Linked DNA regions of Oryctolagus cuniculus. The protein of the gene in region 1 interacts with the protein of each later gene in a biochemical or structural test. Links are inferred from orthologs where the notes say so. Each region holds a gene or a part of one and is shown on either strand. Other genes may lie near its edges.

What was found.
Region 2: the proteins of SORBS1 (region 1) and FLOT1 form a complex in vitro, tested with the Homo sapiens proteins (2 studies listed by BioGRID). The link is inferred for Oryctolagus cuniculus from reciprocal best matches to the Homo sapiens genes SORBS1 and FLOT1.

The regions. Positions count from the first base shown.
Region 1 is NC_091446.1:34,100,376-34,104,837, reverse strand, and holds the start of SORBS1 (sorbin and SH3 domain-containing protein 1), read right to left. Parts: upstream 3,013-4,462; 5' UTR 2,910-3,012; coding exon 2,785-2,909; intron 1-2,784. UniProt on the Homo sapiens protein: Plays a role in tyrosine phosphorylation of CBL by linking CBL to the insulin receptor. Required for insulin-stimulated glucose transport. Involved in formation of actin stress fibers and focal adhesions.
Region 2 is NC_091436.1:139,702,299-139,706,794, forward strand, and holds the start of FLOT1 (flotillin-1), read left to right. Parts: upstream 1-1,509; 5' UTR 1,510-1,659; intron 1,660-1,845; 5' UTR 1,846-1,859; coding exon 1,860-1,902; intron 1,903-2,169; coding exon 2,170-2,245; intron 2,246-2,339; coding exon 2,340-2,430; intron 2,431-2,642; coding exon 2,643-2,786; intron 2,787-2,913; coding exon 2,914-3,033; intron 3,034-3,121; coding exon 3,122-3,217; intron 3,218-3,342; coding exon 3,343-3,495; intron 3,496-4,496. Other genes in the region: IER3 (radiation-inducible immediate-early gene IEX-1), read left to right, coding at 7-216, 336-596. UniProt on the Homo sapiens protein: May act as a scaffolding protein within caveolar membranes, functionally participating in formation of caveolae or caveolae-like vesicles.

The DNA.
Region 1 (4,462 bases):
CAAAGCACTTACTGTTTAGTGTAAATACTTTTATACTAAAACCAGCACAGACGTTTTTAGAAAGAATACAAAATGCATGTGAATTTTTAATAGAAAAACTGGAGTCTTCACGGCGATTTCTTGCATGGGAGACCCACTTCAGACACCGACCTACTTGTAGACCCCTGCGCGTCAAGACTCAGCCTTCTCTGTAATTAATCGGAGTCTGAAAGATATGACAATGAGGGCTGGCGCTGTAGTGTAGCAGGCAAAAGTCACCGCCTACAGTGCCGGCATCCCATACGGGCACTCGTTCTAGTTCCGGCTGCTCCACTTCTGATCCAGCTCTCTACTGTGGCTTGAATAAGCAGAAAATGGCCTAAGTGCTTGGACCCCTGCACCCACGTGGGAGACCGGAAGAAGCTCCTAACTCCTGGCTTTGGATCAGCTCAGCTCAGGCTGTTGCGGCCATCTGGGGAGTGAACCAACGGATGGAAGACCTCGCTTGCTCACGTTCTCTCTCTCTCTGCTTCTACCTCTTTTGACAGGCAGCAAAAAATACTCTGCTTTTCAAATAAATCTTTAAAAAAGTTTTCTTGTAAAAAATATATATGACAATGGTTGTTCAGCATAGACCCATTACAGCGTCTGCACTTCACACCACCCTCCAGGGTGAACACAAGACGCCTCACAGTCCCAACCCAGCACTAACTAGAAAGCACCTCGTTCTCTCCCAAAGAGGTCTGGGTGCTGTTACAGCCACCTGGGTTAGCTCAGCCTGGGGAAACAAAGAGGAGCCATCAGTCTAAATTCTTCCCAGGCACACTCTTTTGGCCACAGCCTGCTCCAAAGCCCCATCTCCACCAAAAGCATCCTCACCCCTCAGAGCACGGCTCCTGCTGGAGAACATATTAAAGACACCCCTTCCAGGGAGGAAGTCATAAAATAGGGCACATCTCTTGGGAAAGGGTGTCCCTTGTGGCTCACAATAGAAGAGTGGAAACTTTTTCTATTATGGTAGCTGTTTTTGTTGTAAAAACAATAACCACATGACAGAGACCTAGGAAATTTTGTCTTTTTATGAAGAGCTACTACTGACCACAAAAGAAAAGGGGGGAAAAATCAATGAAAGACCACATGGAAATAAAAAGCAATTTAATTGGGTTTGGTTTGTTTGTCTTGCTTATTTTGTGTGTAAAACACATACACATTCAAAAAGACTGAACGGTGATTTTAAATTAAGAACAGAGAACGTGAAACTTTAATGGTGCAATAAACGCATTAAAACACACTACAAAGCTGTATCATCAATAGTAAAGAAAGGACGGGCAGGGGAGCTAGGAGAAACATACAAGGGAGGAGAGAGAAAGAAATGGATAGAGGAGCGAAACAATAGAAAAGGAAGACAGGCAGCAAAACACAGGAACAGACAATGGGCCCACCGCAGACAAAAAGCAAGAGCAACCAAGGATCCATAAGACACTTCCTAAATTGGCCAAAGAAAAGTACTATTCATTGCCAGCTCAGGGCTTGGGCTATAGACTTCAAAGTCTTATCACCTTTTATCCTGGCCTTTGAATGGCTCATGCTCCGCTTAACCACTGTTCACAGCTATTGAATTGCCCACTGAAACATTATGAGGCTTAGCTCAGGTCATAAGCCAGAGGCTTCCCCCAAAATGAGCTCCAATTCAGCAAAGCAGTCATCTCCAGACATCTCTGGAAAGGGAGTCCATGAATCGCCAACTCATAAAATGTACAAAGCACCCATGAACGACAGAGGAGAAAATGCTGCTTTCATCAAACAGAAATGTCATGGAAAACTTTGCTGTAGTTTTGCATTAAAGGTTGGGGGGAGCTTCAGCAGAACTGGGACCCCTCAGCATTCGCCAGCATCCCGCTGGCATAGCTGCCTCCCACATGTCCAGATCCTGCTTGTCCTCAGCCACAGGCCTCCGAAGCAGCCTCCAGCATACTCTGAAATCAGAGGGTCACCAGGAGAGACCACAGGGACTCCAGGTCCGTCTCGGGCCCAGGCGGGACTCTCAGCTGGCCCCTCTGCACCCTGGCCTCAGCCAAGCCGCTCCTTATTCCACTCCGAGGGCGGCAGAAATGCCCTCCACCTCACAGCTGATTCTGCTCAGAGCTTGGCTTTCCCACGCGTCCCGTCTCCAGCTCCCACCTTCTCTGGTCTGTTTCTCCAACTTCTCTGCCTCTATTTCCTCCTCATTTTTCTCTGCCCCATCTCGGGATAATCCTTCTCAGAGACATATCTGGAACACAGGACCTAGAATCTATTCACTGGGCTCCTACCCCAACTCTGCATCTTGCTGGCTCTGTGACCTTGGGCAAACAGGCCAATGCCCCAAGCTCTCAGATTCCTCAGTGAAGGAAGTGCACCTGGAAACCACAGAGGTTTCTTCCAATGATCACACTCTAAATGTACAGCTGCATAACCATAAATAAAATGGGTTCAACATACCAGGAAGAATTACAGAAAACTCCCTTCCCTTAGCAATCTGTCATCCCACCCCTCCCCCCCCACCACCACCCCAGAAAATCACCCACTCTGAGGTCTGTGCCTCTGCCCGGGGCCATTCTAGCTCTGAATTATTCACATATGGTAAAACCTCACAATCACACAAATCAAGGGAAAGGTGAATCTGAATCCAACAAGCCCAAGTACTAGTTTCCTTCATGCCAAGAAAGAGCCTAACAACGCCATCACAAGCTGCACTTGTGAATCTAAGAGCAGTGGCGCTGTCAGGAACCCTGAAAATGATCTATCGGAAGTCCTCCACCTTACCAACAAGGACACAGGCCCGGAGAGTGATGGGAAGGCACGAGCCCAGGGAAGACTGGTGGGCAGGAGCAAAGCCAGCTGCCCTGCCTCTGGTCCAGAGCGCCTCCACCAAAGCTTTGGGAGGCCATCTGTTCCTTTTTCAGAAACAGGTTAAATCCTAAACTACACAGTGAGTGCCCTCTACAGCAAATCTATTTCCACGTCAGGGAAGGGTCCAGAGCTCCATTTAGACAACCAGAGGATTACCAGTGCTGCACAATAAAAGCTTTCTTTCCTGGGCTCTGCCCTTTCAATTCTCTGCAAAGAAAACCCCAGACTCGGCTCTCTGGATTGACCTCTCCGGATTGGAGAGGAGAGGAGGGGGAAGAGAAGGGAGAGTGGACAGCTCTTTGTCTTGCCAGTGAGAAGTGTTGGCTCCTCCTTCTCAATAAATCCTACTCCCCCTTCAGCCCCCAATAATCCCATTATCTTCAGAAAAGTTTGCAGAAACTCTCCAACTACAACCAAAGAGCAGGTCAGGGGGGAAAGGGCCAGCAGGGGTGGGTGTTGGTGGAGGACCACAATACCCTCCCACGGCTACACCCCAACAGGGTACGGCCCATTGCATTTCAGTTGCTAATTCCCGGCAGCCCGGGTCTGCAGTCTTGGGACCCTCCCGCTGAGAAATGTGCTCCCAGCAACCCCTGGAGAACTAACCCTTTCCTATCCATCTACCCCAACAGTGCCCAGGGCAGAGGTGCCAACAGACCAACCCCTCCCTCCTTTCCCAGGCCACAGGGAGACATCAGCTATTTAAGGCAGCATCAAGAGGGTGGGGCAGAAAATTGCTCCCCCACCCCCCCCCCCCCCGCAGAGCCCACACACACCCCCTCCGCCTCTACCTCCTCCACGTCGCTACGGGCAGTAGATATGGAGTCTCCGGGCGTCCGTCATGCGCTTCCTGTCACCGCGGCGACGGCTGCGCCCCCTCTACGGCCCACCCTACTTCAAGTCGCCCCCTCTCTCTTTCAGTCACCCCCAAGCCACGTTCCCAACACAGACGCAGAACTGAACCTAAGTAGAGGAGCCCAAACGGCAAGGGGAGAGGAGCCAGCTAAGCCTTCATTCACTCCGGAGAGGCGAGGCGCGCCCGGGGCCCGGGGCGCGGAGGCGGAGGTTCCATGATGTCCCTGGGAGAGGCGAAATTGATTCGAGCCATTTCGGCAGGTCGGCCCTGCGACTACAGGGGCATCCCAGCGCTCCGTGTTTGCTACGCAAAATCCAAGGGCTCACCCAGAACACGCCGGGGCCACGCTCACCGGGATCCCCTCTGCTCTTCTGTAGCCACACAACAGCGTGATTCATTCTGTCTGCCGGGAGGCAGCAGGCGTGCGCCGGCGGCTGGCAAAGCGGACGCACCGGCATGCAGAATTCGACTGCACGTCTCCCCCCACCAAAGGAAGCAAAGGACCTGAAGCCTCCTGCTCCTTCCATCGTGAATGGCCACCGCCGATCCCGGCAGCCAGGTCGAGAGGCAGCGAGGTGGGCGCGGAGGTTGCCTCCAGCCCACCCCGGCGCGGGGAAGCCCAGCAGAAGGCTGTCAGCCGGCGGGAGCGCAGGCCCCGAGTCTCCGGAGCCCCGGACACGCTCGGCGCGCCGGCCTCTCCACGGGGACGCGGATGAATGAACACACCTGAGACGC
Region 2 (4,496 bases), on another chromosome or scaffold:
TGCGCTATGTGTCACTCTCGCAGCTCGCTCTCCACCATGGCCGTCCTGCCAGCCCCGACCCCTGCCCCCTCCACCAGCCCGGGACACCGGCGGGGCTCTGGGCCTGAGATCTTCACCTTCGATCCTCTCCCGGAGCCGGCGGTGGCACCCGCCATGCGCGCCCTCGCTTCTCGCGGGCACAAGAGGAGAAGCCGCAGGGTTCTGTACCCTCGAGCGGTGAGTGTCTCCGGAGTGGGCAGCCTGGGGGAGGGGGGCGCGCTGCCCTGGTGCGGCTGGGGAACCACCGGACGCCAGGCTCTTGATCTGACCCGTCCCTTCTGTCTGTCCTTCCTCAGGTCCGGCGCCAGCCGCCAGCCGAAGAGCCGAATCCCGCCAAGAGACTCCTCTTTGTGCTGCTGACTATAGTGTTCTGCCAGATCCTGATGGCCGAAGAGAATATGTCGGCGCCCCTGGTCCCGGAGGACGCCCCCAGCGCCGAGTTCCCGGCGCCCACGCCGGCGCCCCCTGTCCTCGAGCCCTTCAATCTGACCTCGGAGCCCTCGGACTACGCTTTGGACTTCAGCACTTTCCTCCAGCAACATCCAGCCGCCTTCTAACTACACATCCCCCAGAAGAATCTGAAAAACCCAACCCACACCAGACGTAGCTGGTGCACAAGAGCGTATCCCAAACTGGGACTTCCAAGGCAACTCAAACTCAACACTACAGCCAAGGCGCCAGCCGGGGCCCGGGCGAGCCCACGCAGGCCGCCTGCAGGTGCCCGGCTGGACTCCTCATTCGTATTTATATGTATTTATATGTCCTCCTAGGTGATGGAGGGACGTATGTAATATTTATTTTAATTTATGCAAGGGCGCGAGATCCGCCCCCTCTGCTGTAAACGCAGGTCTTTTGGTATTTATTGGACTTCGTGGGGTTGGTGGAGGCAGAGCGGGAGGGGGGTGGTGGTGGGTCGTGTCTTTAGTGGGTGACACCTTGCGCTCTCCAGCGTCTCAACCCCGCCGGTCTGCGGTGCGAGGCTTCGGGGAACTGCTGGGAATGAGGTCTGGGGCCGTCAACCTCCTCCAGGTTGCCCCTAAGGGGCGGCTGTCGGGGTCGCCCGGTATGTTCTGTGAACACAAATAAACCTGATTTACCGTCTGTGACTCTCCCAGTGTGCTTCTTTCTGCAAGCGGCGAGTCCCTCCTCCCCGCCCGCGGGAGGAGCGGTGGCCGCGCCCCGCCCCGTCCCGCCCCCGGTCCCGGAGCCCCTCTTCCCGGAGTCGGAGGGCCGCCGTTGGCTGCCGGCTCTGTGGCTTCCCCAAGTCAACCGCGGCACAGCCCAAGTGTGGCAGCCTCCCTTCCTCCGGGGGTGCCGGAGCCGCGGAACTCACGTCCCGCGCACGGGGCGGAGCGCGCAGCGGCCGGGGCGGGACTGCGGCTCCCGCAGGGCGGCGGAGAGCGGGGCGCCCCGAGGGGCCGGGGCCGCAGGCGGGCGGGCGCGGACCCAGCGCGGCCTGCCGGGAAAGGGGCGGGCCGAGCGCGCGGGGCCGAGCGGGTGGGCTGGGCGGGCTCGCGTCTGCCGCAGCAGCAGGGTGCGGCCGGCTGGAGGGCCGGGCCGGGCTTGCGGGGAGACCGGTGCGCTAGCTGCCCCTGTTCGGCTCGCTGGGCGTCCGGGAAGGTAAGTGGGGGCGGGGAGAAGCAGCCCGGAGCTGCGGAGGGCAGGGGGAAAGGAGTGACCGGAAACACGGGGAAGGGTTTACGCAAGGGATTTTCAGGGTTGCGCTGGGGTAAGCCGTAGCGGACCCAGGGGTGCGGAAGGGACGGGCGTGCCCATGCGCAAAGGCGTTCTCTCCGTCTCCTCCAGCTTCCTCTTGAATCATGTTTTTCACCTGCGGCCCAAATGAGGCCATGGTGGTCTCGGGTGAGTACTGTTCTCGTCCCAGACAGCCAGTTAACCCTCCCACCCCCAAACCGCTGTGAGTCTGCTCGCTGCCGCGTCTCCCCCTTCCCTGCCAGCTCCCCAGCGCCCAGCTTCTGCCCCCTGATGGTCGTGAGAGACCCACCTGTCATGGCCAGCCGCCCCCTGCCCAAGTCCAGGCTACCTGCCCTGCGGGTCCTAAGCTGTCTCTTGGGGACTGGGGCCCGCCCCCAGCTCCTCCGTGGCCACTCACCGCCCCGCCCCTCGCAGGTTTCTGCCGGAGCCCCCCAGTCATGGTGGCTGGAGGCCGCGTCTTTGTCCTGCCCTGCATCCAGCAGATCCAGAGGTGGGTAGGAGGAGCACAGGGATGGAACGCCTTGGCTTTCAGTCTCTCTCCTGCCTTTCTTACTGTCTGTGTCTTCTCCCGCCCCTGCCCCCAGGATCTCTCTCAACACACTGACCCTCAATGTCAAGAGTGAAAAAGTCTACACTCGCCATGGGGTCCCCATCTCAGTCACTGGCATCGCCCAGGTGAGGCTATCAGAGCCTTCCCCAGAGTCTACTGCTCCATCACCTCCTAGAGGTTTCTGGCCATGAACTTCTCAACCTCTGCTTGCAAAGAAACTCGGCTGCTAGTCTGGCATGTTCCAGGCACCCCAGGCCCCTTAGAAGCATCTCTTAGAGGGCTCCCCTTTCTCTCCCTGGCTTCCTGAGGCCTCCCCCTCCGCCTCCCCTGGCTGCAGGTGAAAATCCAGGGGCAGAACAAGGAGATGTTGGCAGCTGCCTGCCAGATGTTCCTGGGGAAGACGGAAGCTGAGATTGCCCACATCGCGCTGGAGACCCTGGAGGGCCACCAGCGGGCCATCATGGCTCACATGACTGTGGAGGTGGGCCCCGGAGGGCAGTGGGGGTGCGGTGCAGAATCCATGGACCCCAAGGACCCAGCTAGTCTGCAAGAGGTGGTGGGCTGGGAGCTGAAGGTTCTTCTGCCCCCCACTCTTTCTGTTCTCCTAGGAGATCTATAAGGACAGGCAGAAGTTCTCAGAGCAAGTTTTCAAAGTGGCCTCATCAGACTTGGTCAACATGGGCATCAGCGTGGTGAGCTACACACTGAAGGACATTCACGATGACCAGGTAAAGCCAGGCTGGTGGTCCTTCCTGGCCCCCTCGCCCACCTCCCCTGCCCTTCTGAGGACTCCTGATTTCTGCCCCACCCCCACAGGACTATTTACACTCTTTGGGGAAGGCGCGGACCGCTCAAGTCCAAAAGGATGCTCGCATCGGGGAAGCAGAGGCCAAGAGAGATGCTGGGATCCGGGTGAGATTGATGGGGGCTGGGAGGGGCACAGCTGAGGGGGCTGGTGGGGCTGGGAGGGAAGCTCTCGCTTGATGACCTTCTTTCTTTCTGCCCTGACTTCTCCTGCCTGATCTCTGCTTGGACAGGAAGCTAAAGCCAGGCAGGAAAAGGTGTCCGCTCAGTACCTGAGCGAGATCGAGATGGCCAAGGCGCAGAGGGACTACGAGCTGAAGAAGGCCGCCTACGACATCGAGGTCAACACCCGCCGAGCACAGGCTGACCTGGCCTACCAGCTTCAGGTGAGAGCCTCGCACCGGGGAGGGGTCCAGGCTGCTCGCTGCCCCTTCCCCTCCTGCCCAGGCTACCACTCTCTCCTGTTCCAACTCTGATCTTCTAGTTCTCTGTTTCTCCCCACATAAGGAAACATTTAAAAGACTAACATTTCAGCTGAAAAGCAAAGAGAAGGCCAAGAAGGGAGCTGATCAATAGGGTTTGGGCCGTATGTTCGGGGCAGGTGGTGCCCTGTGAACCTGGTGGAGGGGATGAACTACAGGTAGGATCCAGCCGTGCTCCACTCACCAGTCTGTACATTCTGGAGTGGGTTTTGTTTTGTTTTGACAGGCAGAGTTAGAGAGACAGACAGAGAGAAAGGTCCTCCCTCTGTTGATTCACCCCCCAAATGGCCGCCACGGCCGGCGCGCTGCACCAATCCAAAGCCAGGAGCCAGGTGCCTCCCCCTGGTCTCCCATGTGGGTGTAGGGCCCAAGCATCTGAGCCATCCTCCACTGCACTCCCAGGCCACAGCAGAGAGCTGGACTGGAAGAGGAGCAACCGGGACAGAACCGGCGCCCCAACCGGGACTAGAACCCAGGGTGCTGGCGCCGCAGGCGAAGGATTAGCCTAGTGAGCCACGGCGCCGGCCTGGAGTGGCTTTGCATCTGCCCAGAGGAAGGAGTGCCTTGTAAGTTGCATAGGAGCACCCCATAGGCTAAACAACAGCTATCAAAGAAGGATTGGAGAAAGGAGAAAGGAGAGCCAGGCATGGAATCCTACAAAGCGTGATCTGTGCAGCCCTTGATGTCGCGAGGAGGTACAGCCCATCCTCGTTATTCAGGGCTTCCTTGGGGGAGAACCCCCGCATGTTCACTGGAAGGTGCTGGTAACCCCAGAGTCAGTACTCACAGCACATTACGGTCACGCACGCCAAGGAGTTGCCTCCTGCAGCGTCGTTTGGTGGTATGTTGCCTGCCACTGTCCCCCACACTCTGCTGCTTTTTGTTCATGAGTTCACTGGTTCCCG